Linked DNA regions of Mus musculus: all the other regions are reported to be linked to region 1. Evidence: microRNA targets listed by miRTarBase, many of them from high-throughput screens and not tested one by one. Region 1 holds a microRNA gene; each other region holds the end of a gene's coding sequence.

Region 1 (3,098 bases):
GAACTAAAAGCCAACGAATCAGAGCATGGTGGCTCTGAAACAAACTAGCACTTTGCTTGGAGCTGTCTACTGGCTCCATCTCCAGTCAGTTACTGAAACACTCTTCCTTGTCTTTACTACCATACAGTCGGGCTTTGATTATACCCAGGACCAGATGAGTCCTGAAATATAGCCAGAAGCCTGACTGATCAAATCCTTCCCAGTGGACATATTTATTTGCTCTCCTTGCTTCTGATTGATGGAGAATGGAATAGGATCCAATCAGGAGATAGAGCTCATATTTAGGCATTGACATCAAAGCCTGCAGTTACCTTGGAGATCTCCATCAGTACTGCTTATTGATACCTCAACCCCCTCCACCCTAGTTTCCCAGAAGGAAATTGATAAATTGAAAGTGAAGGGCAGAAAAAAAAACCTGCTTTACCTTCTTTTCTCTGCACTGACTTACAGAAAAAGAAGTCAGTAGAATCTTGGGGGATGGTCCTATTTCTGGCTCCTTCTGCCTAGCTTTAAGCTATTAGCCAGAAATGTGCTGTTTCTTTTTTAGCCCACTTATTGTAACATTAATCTTCTGTATTTTGCTGCCTGCTGAACAATTGTGATGTGCATTTTTCAACTTATCCAATTTATCTGTTACATGCTCTGTGTATGAACTTTCCTTGAAAATATAATATGTATCCACAAAGAGGTGTTTGTCTATTTAGTTTAATATTCAGCTCATGCCTAGCTCTACCTGTATTCGGGTGGTATTAAAAGCTGCAGTTTTCCATAAATCTGAAAAATAATAAATGCTACTGAGTGTTGAAACAATGCTTACATGGTATGAATATTCACATCAAAATATGGTATATGTGGAATATTTAATGTGTGGATTGTTTTCTATATTTCTATACTGGATATTTTCTTATTTAAATTTAAAATTGTATGCCCATTCCACAATTCCCTCCCAGAGAAACCTGTCCAATCTCCCCTCCCACTGGTGCTATGAGGATGTTCTCCACACACACAATCCCACTACCCCACCCTGGCTTTCACCTACATTGGGGCATTTAGCCTTATGAGAGACAAGCCCCTCTACTCTGATTGAAGCCTGACTCAGAATTCTTCTGCTACTTATGAGGCTGGAGACATGGTTCTCTCCTTGTGTACTCTTTGGTTGGTGGTTTAATTCCTGGGACCTCTATGGGGGCTATGTATAGTTGATAATGTTGTTCTTCCTATAGGGTTGCAAATCCCATTCAGTTCCTTAATGTTTGGTTTTAAAGAGGTCATGGCATTTTCTGATGCATATAGAGCTGTAAATTTATTTCTACCTTCAGGAATGTATTAATAAAATAAAACAGTTCAAAATTATACAGATTTTATGACAGAGACCTGATTTCAAAAAAAAAAATAGAATGAAAATATCATGAAATCTTAGGACAACCTGAGAGAAAAGCATTTAGAAAATCTAGTAAACAACAACAAAAGTATCACCATAAACAATGGTTGCAATGTTGAATGCCTTTGGCTATTAATGGTAACATGCTACCAGCATCACTGTCATAACACTGCTTGGATTGTGGGTATGGTAGTTTCTCTGCCTGTTAATCACATCTAATTTTTCTTATACTCAAATCTGGTATGTTGAGCACCTCTGCTGCCATCGTGGTACTCACAGTGGCTGATCTAAAAACATGAAAATGCCAAAATTGTTCTGTAGTCTGTGTCACAAGCTGAAGATTGAATGTTGTATCTTCATTACAGAAGGCACAGCCCTGCATGACCGAGGCAAGAAATGGACAGCAGATGCCTGAATTTCACATGTGGAGGCATTCCCTGTACAGGAACTAGGAGCCAAAGAATCAGAGAATGGAGGCTCTGAAACAAAAAAAAGCAGTTTGCTTGGAGCTGTCCACTGGCTCCATCTCTTGTCAGTTACAGAAGCACTCTTCCTTGTCTTTAGCACCATATAGTCAGGCTTTGGTTATATCCAGGACCAGGTAAGTCCTGGAATATAGCCAGAAGCCTGACTGATCAAATCCTTCCCTGCAGACCAATTTATTTGGTCTCCTGGCTTCTGATTGATGGAGAATGTGCATTCAAATAGAGAATGGAATGAGATCCAATCAGAAGAGAGATCTCATATCTAGGCATGGACAGCAGAGCCTGCAGTAACCTTGGATATCTACATCAGTGCTGGTGATTCATAACTCATACACTCCTCCCTGCCTTCCCAGAAGAAATGAGAATAATTGAAAGTGAAGTGCAGAAAAAAACTGTTTTACCCTCTCTTCTCTTCACTGACCTACAGAAAAATACCTCACTGAACACTTTGGGGTGGTCCTATTTCTGCCTTATTGATTATCTTTAAGCTATTTTACAGGGATGCTCTGTTAGCTTTTGAGCCCACTCACCGTATTTCTTGACATTTTTGCTGCCTACTGGGCAATTGTATTGTGCCTTTGTCTCCTTTTCCAATTTAACAATTGTATGCTCTGTATATACTCTTTACTTGAAAAAATATTATTTATTCTTGCATCTAGAAAGAATTGTTTTAATACCAAGGTTAATATTCTGCCCATTCCCTAGTCCATGATTACTCAGTTTCAATGAAAAGCTGCAGTGGTCCATAAATCTGAAATATAATAAATGCAACTCAGTGTTGTAAACAATGTTTGTGTGCTATATTATTCACATCAAATATGGTGGATGGAAAATATTTGAAGTGTGGTATTGTTTTCCATTTTTTTGGATATTTTATATTTACATTTCAGATGTTACACCCTTTACCAGAGTCCTCCACAGGAACCCCCTGGGAAATCTTATATAAGTATGTTACTTTACCCAATTACACACAAAATACTGGCACCCTGCCCTGGTATTCTCCTAGAATGGGTCATAAAGCTTTCTCAGGACTAAGGGCCTCTCCAGTGATTGATGCCTGGCAATGCTTTCCTCTGCTACCTATGAGCATGGAGACCTAGGTCCCTCTTTTTGAACTCTTTTTGATGGTTTTGTCCCTGGGACTTCTGGGAGAGTGAGTCTAAATAATTGATATTGTTCTTCTTGCTATAGGGTTGCAGACCACTTTCAATTCCTTAATGTGTGGTTTTAAA
Region 2 (3,000 bases), not on the chromosome of region 1:
GTCTCATGCCAATTAATTCCATGAACTATGATTGGTGTAAAAATACAAATCATAGCCTTACTAGAAAAAGAAACGTTGAAAGCCCAATACATTGCCCAACAATTGTGAAGGACCCGAAAATTATTATAATGGGAGAGGAATTGTCTTAAAGTCGGATTAGAAAAAGAAGTGGCTGTGCCAAATGGGCAGAATCCCATGGCCACATGAATGTTTAATAGACTTCCTCCAGATCCTGTGCCAGACAAAGTCACAAAAAGGGGCAAAATTTTGTTCCTTTTAACAACCCAGGATTTTCCTCAGCCACATCCTGTCTATTGCAATAATATTAATTTTCTTAAAGGTTATGGGGAATAGAAAAAGACAGAGACAGAGGGACACCAAGACAGAGACTTTATTCATCTGCCAGAACCCCAGGTTGATTTCCAGGACAGGCTAAAGAACTGAGAAGATGGGGGCTGCACTCTGCTCCTGGCTCACCAAGTCCTGCCCCCACAGTTGCCACACCCAGACTCCCACAGCTACTGAAATGTGGGCTGGGTCCCTTTCTTCCTTTGCCCCATAGGAGATGGGAAGGAGTGGCTGAAATAGTTTCCATCTGACCTTGGCTTTGTAAGATTCTCTTTACAGAATTATTTCAAGTCTGGAGAAAGGACTCCAGAGGAGCTATATGGAGCCAGACACCATGATTTCATCTAAGCTAAAAAGCAAAGCGCCCTGTGAGATGAGCCCTGGCCATTAACGTGATATTATAAATCCTCTTGTTCTTTTATCCTTTCCCAGGGAGTTGCCTCTTACAAAGTCCAAGCCGTGTTTTAATAGCGGCCACTCTCTGTGTTCCTGTCTTTTAAAAGAATCAGCACCAAAATAATTCCCACATAAATGATTAAAAACTGCATCACGTTTTAAAAGTCATTTAATATTAATAGCATATTTTAATGAAAAAAGCAGCATACTTTGCCAGTAAAACATTAAAATCATCTCTTCAATGAAAGACAATGAAACAACACTCAAAATAACTTAATACATTACTATAGTAAATAACCCATTAACAAAAACAAGAAACGAGGTCATATACAGAACTCAGAACTTTGGAGAGCCTCAAATGGATCAGCAATTACAGCAAATTCTGTAAGAATATATTCATATGTGCATCATTTTGAATGAAATATTTACAATAGATAAGGTACCAGTCACTTTGTACCTATTTGTGTGTGTGCTCCAAAAGGATTCTACCAAACACTGTGAATTTACAAGCAGTGCACTGTCTTTCTTATAGTTCCAAATTTTTCCCCCTACAAACAAACCTCCTAAAAGGAAAAAATGAAGGACCCCTATAAAGGTCAAAATGTAGCAACAAAGCAATCGAAAACTGGGAGATGGAAATACCTTGGTGAAATCTTAGAATCCAGCAGAGTAAGCACCAAGTGGAGACTGCACCTAAGGCTGGGAAAGTATACACTGCTCATCGTTGGTACCTCCAGCTGCTTCTTCTCTTCTGTTAGAGATGTGTATGTGTGTTTGTGTGTAGGCATGTAAGGTGAGTGAGAGAGCACGTGTGCCGCGGGGACAATATGGGAATCCCCATTAAATATGTAAGGAAGTAAACAAGACTTCGGACAGTGAATCTGGTCTACACGGTTAAGACATCAATTATAAAGTGTCAGCTCACAAATTAGATCACTACCAGTCAAAAACAAAGGGAAGAAACAATCTTCATTCAAAGTGAGAATATACAACTAGGCCAAAGCGAACACAGTCTAAGTGGGAAGCTGTAAAAATCCAGGACCAAAAAGAAAAAAAGAAAAATGTTTTGAGCATCACTAGCTATACGTATCCGCCGGTTTTATTTTTCAGACTAAAGAAGTTTAATTAATTAGGATGTGCACAAAATTAAGTTGCCAGAGAGATAAATTAATAATTTACAGAGGGTTGTACGGCAATAATCTAATAATAGCTGTCAAGATCAGTGAACACAGCAGGCGCAACTCCTTCCATAAGTGTTAACACTTCAGAGAAGGAAGAAAGCGATAAGAACCACAGTAAAAATATATATATAATATACAGTGTAAATGCAGAAAATCTGCCATCTTTTTTTAATTCAAAATACTTTAGAGATGTCTCTATCATATCACATTAAGCATCAACTCTAGCTTCGAGTTTCAGTCCTGAATCAATTTCTATTTCTGAAAAATAGCTGCAAAGTGTACTTTTAAACATGAACAAGGTGACGTCTGTAAGAACAAAAACAAATCTTACTTGCTCATTCTTGCAGGGTTTTCAAAAGCTTGTCCCTCTACCTTCCTGTTGACAGTCAGCTCCTCGCTTTCTCTGATGAAGCCGAGCAGCCCAGGTGCAGTTAAAGGGGACAGCTCTGCTACAACTTGACAAATTCCTTTTCGTGTTGTGTTGTTTGTGGTTTTGGTTTTTCTTCACTGCGAAACCGGTTCACAATCTCTCTGATTTGGGCTCAGCTGCTTGCTTCTTTGCTCCTGGCTTGGTCTGGGTTCACATTTACCGGAATTGTTTTCTGATAGCCAAAGTAGAAAGGAAAGAGGCAGAAGAGACAAGAAGGGGGTTAGAAAAAAAGAGGGCGAAGGGAAAGGGCCATCCCTGGAGAAGGGTCCCTAAATGCCGGCAGAGTATTTCATTCTCTTCTGTTTCTGCCTCTGGTTGCAGAACCAGACGCGCACCACATTTTTCTTGAGATCCAGCTTTTCGGCGATGGCCGCGATCTTCTCCGAGGAGGGCCTTGGCTGGATGGCGAAGTAGGCTTCCAGAGAGCGCTTCTCCGGCGCCGCGATGGACGTGCGCTTGCGCTTCTTCTCCGCGCCATTGAAGAGCTCCGGCTTAGTGAGCTTCTCGCGGTGGGATTTCTCAGCTTCCTCCAGCCACGCCTGCAGGATGGGCTTGAGCGCGATCATGTTGTTGTGTGACAGCGTGAGAGACTCAAACCTGCAGATGGTGCTCTGGCTGAGCGAGCCCACGCCCGGGATCTTGAGG
Region 3 (3,098 bases), not on the chromosome of region 1:
GTTCTCAGGCTTGCAAGACAAGTGCTTTACCAACTAAGCCATCTCCCTAACCATTGCCTACTTTTGATATTCAGATTTATGTAGAGCAGGGCTCTCTGTCTTTTTAACTTGCACTTTAATGCTCCTGGATAAGCTTGATGCATGATCCCTGGAAATCCCAGTGCAATGACACAGCATTGCCAATATCACCTAGAGTGACCAGCATGGAAGGTTGGTATTATCCACTTATAAAAAAATTAAAATAACAGCACCAACATTCCCAAATCAAAATCATCCTCAACAGATATCATTTTATTAAATTACATCTAACAACTTCATATATCATGACAATTCACCAGGTACCTAGGAATATATTTTCTAAGATTATATCAAAGTATCTGCCAAAAAGGCAAATTGCTTCAATTTAAGCACTATAGAAATATTTATTAAGATTTTTTAATCCACACTGAATGTAAATACTGCCTGTTAAAATTTCCCTGGATAAAATCATCGGGGCCAGAGGCTCTCTGCTAGACTGTGTGTAGCAAGGTAGCCATAATTGAATTCTGAAGAACATATTAGCTCATCCCACATCCCTAAGGAGTTGGGACGGCCTTCTATAATTAAGACATATCTCCTGGTTAGATTCGTTAACTAGAAAAGAGCATCAACCCTCTCTCCCACTTAGCTGAGTGTCAGGGTGTATGGATCTGCCCTAATTGGACAATGGAGAATTATCTGCACTCACATTTTTGCCTAAGAATGTATTTCCCTAACTCTTGTGCTTCTAAATGGTTATCAAAGGTCAATTAGGGAAATCGATATTCATAAATAATTTCTTTAAAGACACTCTGTTCATCCTCCTAATGGTCTGAACTGAATTTTTAGCAAATCAGAAACACACATGCTTTCAACCTAGACAAAACTCCAACAGCACTATTTTCATGGTGTATAATATTTAGGCATGTAGTACAAAGCCAACTAGTAATAACAGAGGGTGGCTCTTATACAAGCTTACTGTTTGTGTAATCAGAGCTGGCTCTTACAATGACCTTTAAATTAATTAAATCATTTCTCTTGACTTATAGGTAAGAAAACTGAGTTCAAAGAAGTCACATAATTGTATGATATAAAACCAGGACATGGACCTGATTCTAGAACCTCTAAATTTAACCATTCTATCCTATGCCTTCCCTAAAACAATGATTGAATAAGTCCCTTCTCCAACCTGAATAAGGCCTTATGAAATGAATTCATTGTTGACCCAGTCTGGAAAGACCATGATAAAGGATGCCTCCAGGAAAAGTCAGCAGTGTTGAGGGGTCTGTTTCTATAAAGCAGCCAAACAGACTGAAGCAAATGTACTCCATCACTGGACTTGACTACAGATTCATGAATCTCAGAAGTCTTTAGATGTTTGTTCTCAAACTGGAAATCTAAAAGGGAGAGTATCAGAACCCCACACCTGAACCCCATGAATGACCAGCTATCTCCAAAGTAGAGCTATTCACCTCAGAGAGACTCATCACAAAAGACTCCAGCAGCAGGAGGTAGTATGGCTTGGATATGATTCTGCATGACAGTGACAGTCAACCTGAATTTAGAGTCTTGATTTCAGAGGGTCAATAATGAAGTTATTCATAAAACTGCTCAAATTCATTCAAGCCAAAGGTGACTTTATTGACTCATGGACTGGGGAAGTTCAGGTACAGATTTTATTCCAGAAAAGAACTGATTCTGAGCACAGTGTAGTCAGTGCTCCATCACTCTAGGTTGCCCAAACAAGACCTGCATAATGACACCAATTGACATGCAACATGGACAGAAGAAATTTCACAAAGACAGAACCCTATATGAAGAGCTAGAGGTAATCAGTGGCTGCTGAGAAAAGGACAATCAGTCTTCAGGGAGGGGCCCTCCTGATAGATTATCCAGTGTCCAGTCTTCAACAAAATACAAGAAGCACTAAATGTAATCAGTAAGATGGATGACTGATGAATAGATGATAGATAGGTAGATAGATAGATAGATAGATAGATAGATAGATAGATAGATAGATAGATAGATTGATTGATTGATTGATTGATTGATAGATGATAGGTATTATGCATATGTATATATGCATAAGGCTAATAATAAGACATCATGAATTTGAGAGAGAATTTGGAAGGATAGGAAAGGATCTGAAGAGGGAGGGATAGAAAGTATGTAAATACAGCACTCAAGATGACATTATAAAACAAAAACAATAAAAAATTATTCTCCTTTCTGTGCATCTATTTTTTCATCTATGTGAGGGAGAAGAATTATGTCTGAAATTTTTTCAATTATATATATATATATGGATATTTACATATATATATATAAAACCATGGGTAAGTCAGATTCTCTTTGGTAGAGTCCTAGTGGGATGCTTATGCTGGAAGCCTTCCATTTAAATTCCGTGCTCTAGTGCTGAGGACCACAAAGCAGAGAAGTGAAAGGCCATATTCACAGAACAGACCTACAACATCTGCTGGGGCTAAAAGGTTCATAACCCGAGACAAGGGAGAGAATGTAATCCCAGGAGGTGCTTCAGGGCTCACAACAGTAGGTCAGGACCACAGCTGCGGCTTAATAAACACATCACCCTGTGCTTTATAGTTCAGTGCCCGCCAGTTCAAAACATTGGGGCTGAGTGTCCCACCAACATAGACTGTGCTGATCTGTTCTGGAGATAGCACAAAGTCCCACATGTTCACATCTCCGATGTCTCCCACCAAAGACTGCTTTGCATCAAAGTCACCGCCATACGAGTCCTGCTCCTGCCCCAAGATGATGCTTGCATCTGGCCCCACAGTGTAGCCCTTGTGCAGACTTTTCCGCACCTTGGGTTTCCCATCAATCCAGAACTCTACAATCCCCGTAGCAGACTCCCAGCTGGCACAGATGTGTGTTGGAGCCTCAGGAATCTCTGAAACCATGAATCGTACTTCAGCACCACCCACTCCAAAAGTATACTGTTTATCCTTATTCCAAAATATGAGAATGTCGTTAGAGTTCTTCTTGGTAGCATAAGAGAAGACACTGAAGCTGCGCACTGTGCTCAGAGCAGTGTAGAAATGGAGACACACAGTAAA
Region 4 (3,098 bases), not on the chromosome of region 1:
GGAAAAAATTGAAATAAGACACAAAACACTGATAGTTTTCCTCAGCTTATATTATTGCAGTCACTTAAGGTGAGTGTAGCTTATAAGATTTATTGTGAAATTATCCAAAAGTTTGACCATAGTTAAAAAAAAAAGAAAGAAAAAAAGAGTTCTGTACTTCAAAAGGGTTTTGATAGCAACATACATATTTTCTGTCACATCCATTACATAACAATTTATTTTATTGCCTGTTTCACATGTGGATATAAACTCTACACACTTGTATCAGGTAGTGGCTGGATATTTTAATTCTACTACTAAATGTATGCTACTACATGTAACCTATGTATGCTATGTAGAAGTAGGCATGCTTTGAATAAGTAATACTTTATACAATACAAAAAATTTGTGGACATAGTGTTTCACATGTAAAATTATCAATAGCTGATATATCACATGACTACTCTGAGCTTTTGGTGGTGTTTTAAGGTCATTTTGCATACGTTTCTTATTAGTTTCAACTCAATCTCTAATTAAATCTAAAGGTTAACTCATGATCCACTGGATGGCAGAAGTAAGACTCGGGTCAGCTGTCTCTCATCCTGTGGCTCTCAACAGCAGTGTTTCCACTTACACATCCACACCATGCAGATCACAAGTCTGTTTTTCAACATGAGTCAGGACGGGGCTGTGGTTATTAATGATAGAATATTTAAGTGAGGAGGCCACCTGCTTCATTCTGTAGCTATGGAACTGAGACTCTCAGTGGCCAGTAAACTTCATGTTATTTTTCATTAAGAAGAAACTCTAAATCCATGTTTCTTTTCTATATATCATAAGGGTGAGCACTATATATATATAAAACACTTGTATTCAGGCATCACAAAAGGATGTTATTGCAGCATTCATTCTGGGAGTGATCAAAGATTTTCCCTGATGGAGTAGCCCTTGAAGGCATCCATGACCCACATATACTACATGAATTAGTGTGTGTGAATAAAGTATATAGTGAGAAAGATGTTTTCAGAACAGAGTTGAACAAAATGTTTTCAGAACCTTGGATATGTTGAGATTCAGAGCATCTGATATATGCAAAAATGAGTGTATCCTTTTGGCATGAATGTGTGTTAATAAGACTAGGGTTTTGCATTGTGGAAGACTTTTAGTAGGCGTTCTACTGTTCTCTGTTTTCCAATATGGTATAACTTGCTGCTATTCTTTGAGAATTTCATACATGTATGCAAAGTGTTCCAATCATATTCACCACCACCTTGTCCTCCAACTCCTCCAAACTTCATGTCCTTTTCTTTTTATAAATCCCATTGAGTCCAATTAATGCTGCTAATTCACAATTAATTCACCAATTAATGCTGTTCATAATGCATGGATATGGGGTCATTCACTGGAGCACAGTCAATTACTGGGGACATACTTGGGAATAAGAACTGTCTGCTTCTCTCCTAGTAGCTATTGACTGTCAATAGCTTCTCAGGTAGGAGTGAGGATGCCCTTGCTCTTCTTCCATCCTGTGGGGATGTTGCCTGGCTTGATTCTGTGCAGGTCTTGTGGCTATAAATTCATGAGTGCAATGGTTCTCTCAAGCCCAGAAGATGTTTCTTACCCAGTCCTCCCTGACCTCTGGATCTTACAGTTTTGCTGCCCTGGCTTCCATGATATTTCCTGCACCTTTTTGGGGAGAGTTCTTATTTTGTGGCTGTGCACTTCACAGCCTCCAATTCTCCATGCTCTGACTAGTTTGGAGACCTTGCATTGACCACTGGCCACTGCACAAAGACTCTTCTCTGGTGAGGTTTGTGAACTTCACTAATCTAAAGGTTTTGAGACCCCCCTTCCTGGAAGGCAGTTTGATGCTATAACACGGTACTTTGAATGCAGTTTGAATGAGAACCGCTGGAAACCATTTATCTATTCTTTTATTTTCACATACATAGAAACAGCTTAAACTTTATAGTGGGTTTTAAAACACAAACAAATATATAAACACTTTATTGCACATGGGAAATATTTTGGACAAAGGACTGGGAAAGACACAAACAGGTTATGTGACAAGACTGGAGTTATTCCAAGGTCAAACCACAGGGTGTGTCCTGACAGAGATCTGCCACTACACGTATTGCACTTTTCTTTCCAGCACTTTGAAATCTGCTCTACAAATATTACTCATATGCTGTGCTTTTGTTTTCTTCCTTGAAATACGCTACAGAGGTTTTTAAAGGTTAAGAAATATGTACCATTGAAAATTAGCTGTCTACACGGAGGAAGTTAAAGAAAAGGCCACTCTTATTCTTTGGGGGAGAACAATTGACAAAATAATGAGGCAAAGTTTCTGTAAATAGATGGAGTTACTGCAAAGCTTGGTTTCATAAGCATTGTTCTATTTGTGAATGCTTTTTGAATTTAAGAAAATCATTAATCAGTCAAATCTTCCTGTACCTACATTCAGCTCTTCCTACCACTGAAACCCCTCCAAATAGTGCAAATGCGTAAAGGCACTGGCTGTAGCAGTCATTCGGCAATAAATAGTAACTCTAGAGCTAGTCAGTTCTATTCATTCTAGGTTTAAAAAAAAATAAAGTGCGTTGATGAGGCTTCATAGCCATCCTCTCATCCTTGATGTGATTAGCAGTCAGTTGGTGACAGTTTCAGCTCCTGGTCAAGGGATCTTCCTGGATCTTCTTCCTCATGTCCCACAGTTCTATCTGGAGTTGATCCAGGATGATGTAAAGTTGGTTTGTGCAGTCTTTGTGGAAAATTCAACTGCAGAGCAGTATCCAGTTACACAACTTTCCTGTGGTGCTATGGCACAGTCATTTATACATCTATGTATCCTCGTCATCTGGAGGGCTTGCTGCAGACCCAGTGGAAGTTTGCCTCACAGTCCACAGCGGTAACATTTTTGTGGTTCACGGACACGCACCTCCCAGACCCCGTCAAGTTGAACCTGTCAAGCCATAGAGACACTCAGATTTATTTCCAGCCCATCATTTCTAGCCAGTTACACGACAGTCAACTTTGCAGGGGCCTCTGCCTTTTCTGTTTGCTCCCTGAGTAGGAAGCACAAAACACAAGACATCCAGCCAAGTAGCCGTGGTTTAATG
Region 5 (3,083 bases), not on the chromosome of region 1:
TCAGACTGGGATATATAGCAATACTGTCTTCAGAAACCAAAACAACAACAACAAACCATTTTTAAACATCCCACAATAGAAACAGAAGACAACTTGGGCATTTTTCCTAGAGAGAGTTTCAAGATGACAGTATTAAGAGACACAAGGGAAATATGCTTCTCTGATACCTGCGTTTTACCAAAGATAGGATTTAAGTGGTCTGGGGTGAGACTTGATAATTAAAAACAAAATAAACAAACAAATGAACAAAATGAACAAACAAACAAAAGAAAAAAAAACCCAGACCCTTAAGTTCATTAGTTAGATACAGGTCAGCAGGACAATTCCTTAAGAAACTTATACTACCACACCCAGACACTTACTTCTGACGTAATGGGCAAAGTGACCATGAGGGAAGCCTAAGCCATGGCCCGGCCACTGTGGGCACGCCGTTATGGGGCATGGCTGCTCATCTGCCTGGAATGTCCCCAGCAAGCCTTTCTATAAATAGATTTTGAATCACTTTGTCAATATTATTTCTCTTATCATTTCTTTTATTTAAAAATAAATTTAAAATAAAATTTTATAGTGGCAAAATAATTTTAAATTAAAATTTCCTACTTGAAGCTAACAGAGATATATATCTTATAGAAGGGAAGACTTTCCTGCCATTAGTAACGAATGCTTAAGCCAAGGAAAGGTGATGCGGTTCAAAACACGGTCTCCCTGGAAATGCAAGCAGAGAAGCACAGCGTGGGTAAACGCTGCTGGTGAGCCCGTGGTGCATCTGCCAGGCCCTGCAAGGCCAGGACACACTTGCCACGGGGAAGCTGCACACAGAAGACACAGAACAAAATACACGGATTACTTTTAGCATGTTAAAAACAATCAACCACATCAAAAAGTATACAGATAAAAAAATGCCATAGATGACATAAGAAAATAGTGTGTCCATATATAGCATATATATATATATATATGTATATATATAATCTACATTATTTACCACTATGATATATACTTTCTGAAGAGGCAGAGAGCTGCCATCATGAACTAAACTGTACAGCTTGGCTCCTTACAAGTCACACTTTAAGACTGAAATTAATATCCTCAGCTACATGTCTATATACATTTATATCTCACCTTCCACATGATCTAAATCAAGAGCCTGGTTATTCTGTCAGGAGTTGGGAGTTTCAGTGTGGTGTTCACCTTTAATATACTGCATTTGCTTCCACACTTAATAACATCATTACCACATTAATTAACTTAGATTAGAATCATTATATACATAAAAATATTGTCACGTTTGCTAGATAAACAATGTTACTTTCATGAAAACATATTCTTGTACCTCACAAACTTAAGTCCCCACCTTGGAGCAGGGGGAGTGTCACTGTTGGACTTTCTAGTTTCTGATATTCAGATACAAGAAGAGGGTAACGGTGGGCGAGCACCTACACAGACGCCGCCATCGCTCTTGGAGAACCCAGCACTTTGTCAGTGTCTCGGTGACAGTAGTGTGTGATAGCATAAAAGGAATCATCACCTTTTTTAAAAACCATGAACTTCAGTTATTTTTCACTGAAAAAAAATTCCAAAAGTATGAAACAAACTACCCTTTTTCCCCTTTTTTTACAAAGATCAAAATTCTAGATTAAAATTCCTTATTAATCATTAGGGTATTTTTCACAATTTCGACCGGGGCCCAGTAAGTGTTAGCAGTATCCACCCACTGTGCTCTGTGAAGACCGAGTGCCAGAGAAAGCCTGTGAGAAGGGGAAGCAGGGTGAGAAGCAGCCTTCCTTATGGTTAGAGCTGCTTCCCCACGACTGTGAAATGCAATCTTCTGCGGCCTGGGGCCCTGCAAGGTCTGACTTCCCTCACACCCGGCCAGACCAGAGCCCGGGGCACAGCAGCACCAAGACTGCTGGAGATGAGGGGACTCAGTGAGCACTGTGCAGCCGCTCACTCGGGTAACCGACCCACTTTAGGCACCATCAAGTGGTGAGCCTTTAGCTTTCAGGAGGAGATAAAATGGCAGCAACTGAAGGAGAATGACATTCTGTCAGGCGCTGGATTCATCTCTAGTCAGTTTCAGTTTAGAACCTGGGTTAAAATATGTTTGGGCAGGGTGGGCAGAAAGATAAAGGGTTAAAAAAAATCCACTGTTAGTCTATGTATCTAGATTAAAGGTGGTTTTAAAGACAAAACCTATATGCAGTTGCCTCGTCTGTCTATGAAAAGGCGAGGGTCGGCCCTCAGAGTATCTGCTCTATAGCGGTCAGTAGTCTACTGTTCTAACAGCAACGGAACAGAGCGGGTCTGGGGAGCTACGAAGGGACCAGCACAGAGAGCCGCCCTGTGTGTGCAGCCCTCGTGCTACTGCTGGGTCCCCAGGGTCCCCTATTAAAGGTTCAGCCAGGATGCAGCTGACCCACTCTTCTTCAGCAGCCTCTGCAGAGGATGAAGCCTTCCCACACTCTTATCACTGACACACACTGAGCTGCGCACGCTGTTTACAATATAAAAAATACTGCTCTGGCAATTATAAACATAGCAATGTGGGCATATTGTTTCTATTCTCTTGTCAGTGAATACAGCCACACGCTCACAGCAACACTGATTCCTGCACAGAAAGTCCCTCTCCATTTCTGTAGTGATGTGCGGAAGGTGAGGGCCCTGCATATGGATACCCAGGAGGACTGGCATCTTCCACAGCTGCAGACATCTTATACCTCACTGGACTGTCTACAGACACTTCTGGAAGGCCATGGGCCTGAAACGGTATGTGCTGAAAGGCTGCATAGTTTGGTAAATTGCTTAAGTGGCTACGGTGAGCATCCCGAGTCCATGATTGGCCATGCATCTCCGGTCTGTATGTGTAACTAACTTCTGACCATTTTCTGTTCTCTGGCAAATAGTCCACCGGAGGAAGGATGAACTGTCCATTCTTTGGTGACCCCGAACTGCCGTAGCCCCTGGCACCCATGTCAATGGGAAGGACTTCAATTCGACTAGAGGGCAGAACAACAGGAGTTGGGCGGCTGTAGGCTTTCTCTGGAGAAGTGTCAACTGAAAGAGAGGAACCGTAAGGTCTCCTG
Region 6 (3,098 bases), not on the chromosome of region 1:
GTACTTGGCTGGCTCACTGTGGAGCAACAGCAGAGCCCTGAGACATGTCAACTTCTAACCATTTTCACTTGTTTTCTCCTCCTCCTCTCATAGTGGGATGCCTTTTCCATTCCTGAACTCCAGAACTTTTTAACTATCCTGGAAAAAGAGGAGCAGGACAAGATCCATCAACTGCAAAAGAAGTACAACAAATTCCGTCAGAAACTGGAAGAGGCATTACGAGAGTCCCAAGGGAAGCCGGGGTAACCAGCCGACTTCCTGTCCTCTCAGTGCCCTCCAATTTATTTTATTGTTAATTATTTTGCAACAAAGAGTTACTGTTAAGACACCTCTGGTGGTTCCACCAGTGCCTGCCCAGCAGTTAACAGATGTGGCACAAAGTCTCTTCCACGCAGTGTCTATGCAGGGTTCGATTCCTGCTAACCCACCACACCATGGCTCTGGAGAGCTTCCGCCTGGGATCAGAACTCCTGTGGAATGACCAGTGTTTCCCTGCTCAGTCTGCTGGCCTCTCAGAAACCAAATAGTTGCCTCTCTGGTCACCAAACTCCAATCAATCACCAGCCGGCAAAAGGAAAGAAAGGTTTCAGAGCCTGTGTGTTCTTTCTCTGGATTTACTCTTCAGTTCCTCTTTTGGTTTGTTTGGTTGGTTTTTTTTGGCCACGTATAGTATATTTAAGGATCAAATGTGGCATATTCATTCTAGCTAAGTCCTTGAAAGCAGGAAAATGCTCATGAAAGGACTGTCCTTGCCCCAAGGTGCCTCTTCTTCTCTAGTACTAGACACTCAGGGTCAGCCTGAGATTTCAAGAGGCTACAGCCTGACCAGGCCGTCTCTTATTACCCAGCAGGCTGTGTGCATGCAAACCCAAAGACATATATGCACATCTGTGTGGTATTTCAGCATGTCTCTGTCCAATGTTTGATATGTTAACATTTGAATTTAATGCTGTCCTCCTTATGGGTTTCTACCAAAGAGAAACCAGCCACTTATCAATTTTAGTTTCTTGCTGAGCTGCCAGAAAGTATTACAGAGAAGCACATCCAAGCTGTCTGTGGCCTACGCCTGCAGGGGGTGGGGGGCCTGAATCTCCTTGGCCTTCAGTTCCACCTCCACCTCTGGCTTTAGGGTCTCCAGCTGTTGCCTGAGTAGTAGCTTTGATTACAGTGGTAAAGTCCTCCAACTTGGAGTCCTTTCTGGTGGGAAGCATGGTCTGCTCGCAGCACAGCACTGAGCAGACCCGTGGGCCTGACTTCCCTGGTGACTTCAGTGCCTTTTTGTTTGCAGAGAAAAGAGTGGGGCACTTTGCTTGAAGCTCTCTGCTGGCTTGCCCCTGGCAGGAAGTGGACAATGGTGCTATAGAGCCAAGGACACAGCCTCAGAGCACAGGGTGATTGATGATCAGCCTCTTTCCCATCAAGCTTCCCGGTCAGGCTTTGACTTTGAAGATGCGAGGTTACTAGACTGCATTGACAGCATCAGATTATGACTCCAACTCTTGAGTAGTTCAGACTTAAAACCAATCAGCCAGAGTAGCCAGGACTGCAAAGACACTCAATACAGATGGAGAAAAACTTGTCCCTTTAAAAGAGGGCCAGTGTTTCAATTGAGCCTCCAGAGGAGACCACTTTCATGTTGTGCTTGCCTTTCCATACCCTTTCCTCGGGTTGTTTTAAGCCCAAGCTTCTCCGTGTAGCCTAAAAAGTTCCCTACCAGCCCAGGCTGAAGCCACACTGCTCCCGTCCCAGAAGAACGCCAAATCCTTGTCATTCAAACTGTGCATCGTTTGCAGAGCTGCAAAAAGCAACATGAGCTAGCGACTCTGAGGTTGTGCACGCCATCAGCCCCTTGGCTGCCTGAGGTCTCATGCCCAGCCTTACACCTCTCTCCCTTAAGAAGCCCCCGTCCTGCTGTGTACTACAGGGGCACGTGGAAAGTCATTCCCTTCATCCTGCATGTCTGTAGCGTTAGGAGAAGGCATGGCTCCTGCTGCAAACACTGTGAATGCTGCTGAGAACGTCCCCCCATGGATGGCTTTTTATTTTTGACAAGAAAAAAAAATTCATGTATTATATATATATGTATATACACATAGAGGCATATAGCTATATATACAGAAAGGCGTTTATTCAGAAAATGATGGTAAGATTCAGACTTTAAAGCACAGTTAGACCCAGGACCTGTACTGAGGGTTGAGCCTCTGGAAAGCATGGAGTTCCTGACGTCTCAGAGGAGTCTAACTGCTGGTAGTGCCTTCTATGGTTGTATTATTGCTCTGTATGTGTTCTTTTCAGGATATTTTCTTTCTAAATGTCTTTCTATGTTTTTTAATGAGTAATAAAAGCTTACTGTAAAAACAAGTCACGATGGAATCGTCCTTGCTGAACGTCAACATCTTCTGGAAAGTGGGCTGGAGAGAGGAAGACTGAGGCAACTGCAGGTACATTTCTAGACAGAGCCAAGCTTTCTTCTCCAGTAAGCTAGAGAATGAAGGCTACCATTCAAACGCTTTTGAGAAAATTGTCCACACAGTAGAGGGTACTGCTTCTGGCTGCCTCTTCTCCATCTCTGCGGTGCTGGACGGGGAGGGGACTTACAGCTTTCTAGATACAGAGGTAAGCAGCACTTGTCCTTGGAATTATCTACAATGATGATGTGAGTGTGGGTCACTGATGACTTCAACTGCAGAGGGCTGGACTGGTCCGAAAGCAGCCTGCATTTTGGCCCCGCTGATTTCCAGCACGGAAATCTTTTAAATTCAAGAAACAGCCACATAAAGTTAACTAGGGAAATCACCACCTACCTTCCAGTGCTGCTCATGTATCACGCATGCATGGGCTCTCCAACTTACTCAGTTCTGCCTCTCTTCACCAGGCATCCTTAAAATTAGTCAATCACAGGGCGGGTGAGGGAGCTCAGTGGGTAAAAGGTGCTCACTGCCACGCCTGTGGATCTGAGTTTGATCTCTTGGGACTATACAGTGAAAGGAGAGAGCTCGCTCCCACAGGTTTTCTGCTGACCTCTTCATGCATGCTATGGCAAATGTGCACCATGTGTATATACACAGTGTGTGTGTGTGTGTGTGTGTGTGTGTGTG
Region 7 (3,087 bases), not on the chromosome of region 1:
AAGCACTTCAAGAAATATCCAACATCCTTAACCATCAGAGAAATGCAAAGCAAAACTACTTTGAGATTCCATCTTTCACCTGGCAGAATGGCTAACACCAAGAACACACGTGACAGCACATGCCAGTGAGGATGTGGAGCAAGGGGAACACTCTTCCATTGTTGGTAGGTGTGCAAACTTCTGTAGCCACTATGGACATCAGTATGGTGATTGCTCAGAAAGTTAGGAATTCTCTAACTCAAGATCCAGCCTATGCTACCCTTGGTCGATGCTTTATCACACCACAAGGTAACTTGCTCAACCTTGGTCACTGCTACTCTACTTCAGAAATTAGAAATTAGAAACAACGTAGGTGTACCTCAACAGAAGATACAGAATAGGGTATTATTCGGCTATTTAAAAAATGAAATCATGCAACTTGCAGGCAAATGGATACAAAAAAAAACCATCCTGAGTGAGTAAACCAAGACCCATAAAAATAAATATGGTATGCATTTACTTATATGTAGTTATTAGCTTTTAAGTAATAAATAAGCTACAACATGTAGACCTGAGAGGTTTTGGTATAGAGAAAAGGACCGCTGAGGGGGCACATGGATTTTCCTGGAGTGGGAATATAGAGTAAATTTTATGACTGGAATGAAATTGGAATGGGGGGGGGTGGTCAGGAGTGGACAGACTAGGGAAAGGAGGTGGGAAGTTTGAAAGGAGACAGGATTGAAAGAGGGAATGAGGGGAGACAGCTAGAACTGAAGGGCATTTGAGGGCAGGAATGGAAAGCAGGGCAGTTGAAAGTTACAATAAAATGACTCCTAATACTCATAGATCAGTACCTTACTCAGCCAACAACAGAGACACTTCCTCTTATAGCAGATGGGAACACATAGAGACTCACCAGCAGATATTATGAAGTGGGGAAGAAAGAGAGAGACACACAGATAAGACTGTACACACCTTGGAACACACAGCTGTACTGGATTTGTCTCCATTAAATCCCTCTCCACAGAGCTCAGGAAACTCTGCAGAAGAGGCAGAAGGTGTCTGGGAGACAAAAGAGACAATGGACACCAGAACACGGCCCTCTCAGACATCTGAGCAAAGCTCTTATGAGTTCAGAGACTAAAGCAGCATGGCCTATGGGTCTGGACCAGGTCCCCTATATATATACTCTAGTTTTCAGTTTAACACTTTATGGAGAGGGACTGCTGAATAAATGCAGAGTGGTTCTCTAACTCGTATGCCTATTATTGGCATCTTATTTTTCTGTTGGCTTGGCCTGTACAACCATGCTATGATGGTTTTTGTTTTCTCTTATTGTATTTTATTTTGTTATGTTTTGTTGTTATCTCTTAGAAGCCTGTTCTTTTCTAATGAGAGTCAGAAAGGGAGTGGATCTGGGTGTGAGAGGAGGTGAGCAGAAAGAGGAGTTAGAGGGATAGGAACCTGGATTTAGATATATCGTATGACATAAGAATTTATGTTTAATAAAAGGCAAAAACCAAAAACAGAAAATGAAATTTAATTTGTGAGAAATCAACTAATCTTCATGACATTTTAAGTACTATTATCATATATGTACAACAAATAAATTACACTCTGTTGAGCTTTAAAAAAATGTATTTTAATCTCATTCCAAACAGAAATTTCCAGATACAAATACATCTCATTCAAATCATTGTTTAACGTACGTTCTGAAACTTAAAATATTATAAGGATTCAATATTTTCATCTTTTATAACCTCAATATATTATATATTTAATATATAATATATACACAATACATACACGTAGTCAGCAGGATTGCAAAGTAATTCTCAAATTTGATCAGTATTGATAAATATTTTTAGATTAAACATAACTATTTAAAATCAAAGAAAAAATAAAATACAGCAAGGCCCAAAACTAACAGTGAGACCGCTGATGTTCATATGGCCAATCATTTAAAAAGAACTTTCAAGCTGGGTGGCATTCACTTTAAAAGAATATTCCTGCTACTCTCAAGTAACAGTACTTGTAGACAATAGGTAATTTATATCTCCATTCAATTTAAAATGACTATGCAGCTTTTCTTACTGTAATATACAGTAGCTTTCTCTTCCTTTCTGTTGGATTTTTTTTTAAGACTAATACATTACCAACAGAAGTAATTTTCGTTCCTTTCCCTTCCCTCGAGCATGGCTCAGTTTGAAGATTGTTCTGTAGGCAGCAACTATGAGTAGTAACAGTACCACAACACCATGAAAAGCAGTCAGTAACTGGAGTCCTAGAAGAAGTCTAACAGACTGTTGGAGGTTTGCAACTGTAAACCAAGATAATCAGAAGGATTACCCCTGCAGAGAGCCCTCTCACATTAGTTCTCTCAATGAGTTACAATTCCAATGCCACAGTGTGTAACAGTGTAACAACCTATCTCATGAGTTTTAAATATTACAACATTAATTCACCCTGAGAGTACAGAGGAAGCATTCAAAACAAAACACTCCAATAATTTTTTTCTCCGTTCTATTTGCATTCTTCTTTTGTCAATCCTTCAAGGGCACAGATATTTGAATTTAAAGTGTGACTTGGATATCCGTTTTTGACTGAAATTCATGCCACTGTCAAATACTGATGATAGAAAAGCCCAAAAAGGCTTGTAGAAAAGAGGCAAGCTGCAATCCACCATGTCAAAAATGACAGAAGTCCTCGAAAAAGGAGAGGCGTGAAGATGTTTTTTAAGCTGCTCAGGGCCACTGTGATTTGTGTAACAGTTACCTTCATCTTCCCATCAGGTGATGGTAGTTCAGGGTAAGCCGAGTTGGCGGGGAGATTATTATCCACTGGCAAGGGAAAGGCGGCTTCTGGATAAATTCCCCAGGAATGATTACCTAGGATATTCAAGACACAAAATTTGATAAGTAGATGATTCTAAGGATCAAACAAAATAAAACAAACAAACAAACAAACAAAAAAAAACAAAAAAAAAGAAGAAAAGCAAACCTTAAATCCCCACCCATATTACACATTAAAAAGTTTGGTGGTAAACAATTTTACATTGAAAATAAAGTAATAATTTTGCTATCTGTTAAAGTAATAAAATTAACTGAA

The links. Region 1 holds the annotated microRNA mmu-miR-344e-3p (GAUAUAACCAAAGCCUGACUAU, at 1,952-1,973, opposite strand). A microRNA usually pairs through its seed, bases 2 to 8, with sites in the 3' UTR of a target mRNA and lowers its output. Matches are read on the target gene's strand: a 7mer-m8 pairs with bases 2 to 8, a 7mer-A1 pairs with bases 2 to 7 and ends in A, and an 8mer does both.
Region 2: miRTarBase lists Pou4f2 as a target of mmu-miR-344e-3p. Seed matches in the 3' UTR shown: 7mer-A1 at 2,051-2,057.
Region 3: miRTarBase lists Crp as a target of mmu-miR-344e-3p. Seed matches in the 3' UTR shown: 7mer-A1 at 2,340-2,346.
Region 4: miRTarBase lists Cd69 as a target of mmu-miR-344e-3p. Seed matches in the 3' UTR shown: 7mer-A1 at 1,974-1,980.
Region 5: miRTarBase lists Usp6nl as a target of mmu-miR-344e-3p. Seed matches in the 3' UTR shown: 7mer-A1 at 965-971.
Region 6: the mRNA of Rassf5 is a reported target of mmu-miR-344e-3p. Seed matches in the 3' UTR shown: 7mer-A1 at 2,071-2,077.
Region 7: miRTarBase lists Tmem161b as a target of mmu-miR-344e-3p. Seed matches in the 3' UTR shown: 7mer-A1 at 1,761-1,767.

What each region holds. Positions count from the first base shown.
Region 1 is chr7:61,733,588-61,736,685 of GRCm38, forward strand. It overlaps Mir344e (microRNA 344e), which reads right to left and starts at 2,015; the gene lies at 1,950-2,015. All of the region lies in intron 6 of A230057D06Rik (RIKEN cDNA A230057D06 gene), which reads right to left.
Region 2 is chr8:78,432,113-78,435,112 of GRCm38, forward strand. It overlaps Pou4f2 (POU domain, class 4, transcription factor 2), which reads right to left. Exons shown (of 2, transcript NM_138944.3): 2 at 897-3,000. The coding sequence ends at 2,625. Among named protein-coding and RNA genes, the nearest start is that of Pou4f2, 3.0 kb to the right of the region's middle.
Region 3 is chr1:172,698,503-172,701,600 of GRCm38, reverse strand. Crp (C-reactive protein, pentraxin-related) reads right to left here. Exons shown (of 2, transcript NM_007768.4): 2 at 1,635-3,098. The coding sequence ends at 2,574. Among named protein-coding and RNA genes, the nearest start is that of Crp, 2.0 kb to the right of the region's middle.
Region 4 is chr6:129,265,429-129,268,526 of GRCm38, forward strand. Cd69 (CD69 antigen) reads right to left here. Exons shown (of 5, transcript NM_001033122.4): 5 at 1,896-2,941. The coding sequence ends at 2,833. Among named protein-coding and RNA genes, the nearest start is that of Cd69, 8.4 kb to the right of the region's middle.
Region 5 is chr2:6,441,250-6,444,332 of GRCm38, reverse strand. Usp6nl (USP6 N-terminal like) reads right to left here. Exons shown (of 15, transcript NM_001080548.1): 15 at 513-3,083. The coding sequence ends at 2,591. Among named protein-coding and RNA genes, the nearest start is that of Gm13388, 5.2 kb to the right of the region's middle.
Region 6 is chr1:131,175,673-131,178,770 of GRCm38, reverse strand. Rassf5 (Ras association (RalGDS/AF-6) domain family member 5) reads left to right here. Exons shown (of 6, transcript NM_018750.4): 6 at 94-2,361. The coding sequence ends at 246. It also overlaps a transcript of Eif2d not described here. Among named protein-coding and RNA genes, the nearest start is that of Eif2d, 24 kb to the right of the region's middle.
Region 7 is chr13:84,294,383-84,297,469 of GRCm38, reverse strand. Tmem161b (transmembrane protein 161B) reads right to left here. Exons shown (of 12, transcript NM_175187.5): 12 at 1,504-2,867. The coding sequence ends at 2,590. Among named protein-coding and RNA genes, the nearest start is that of Gm41011, 48 kb to the left of the region's middle.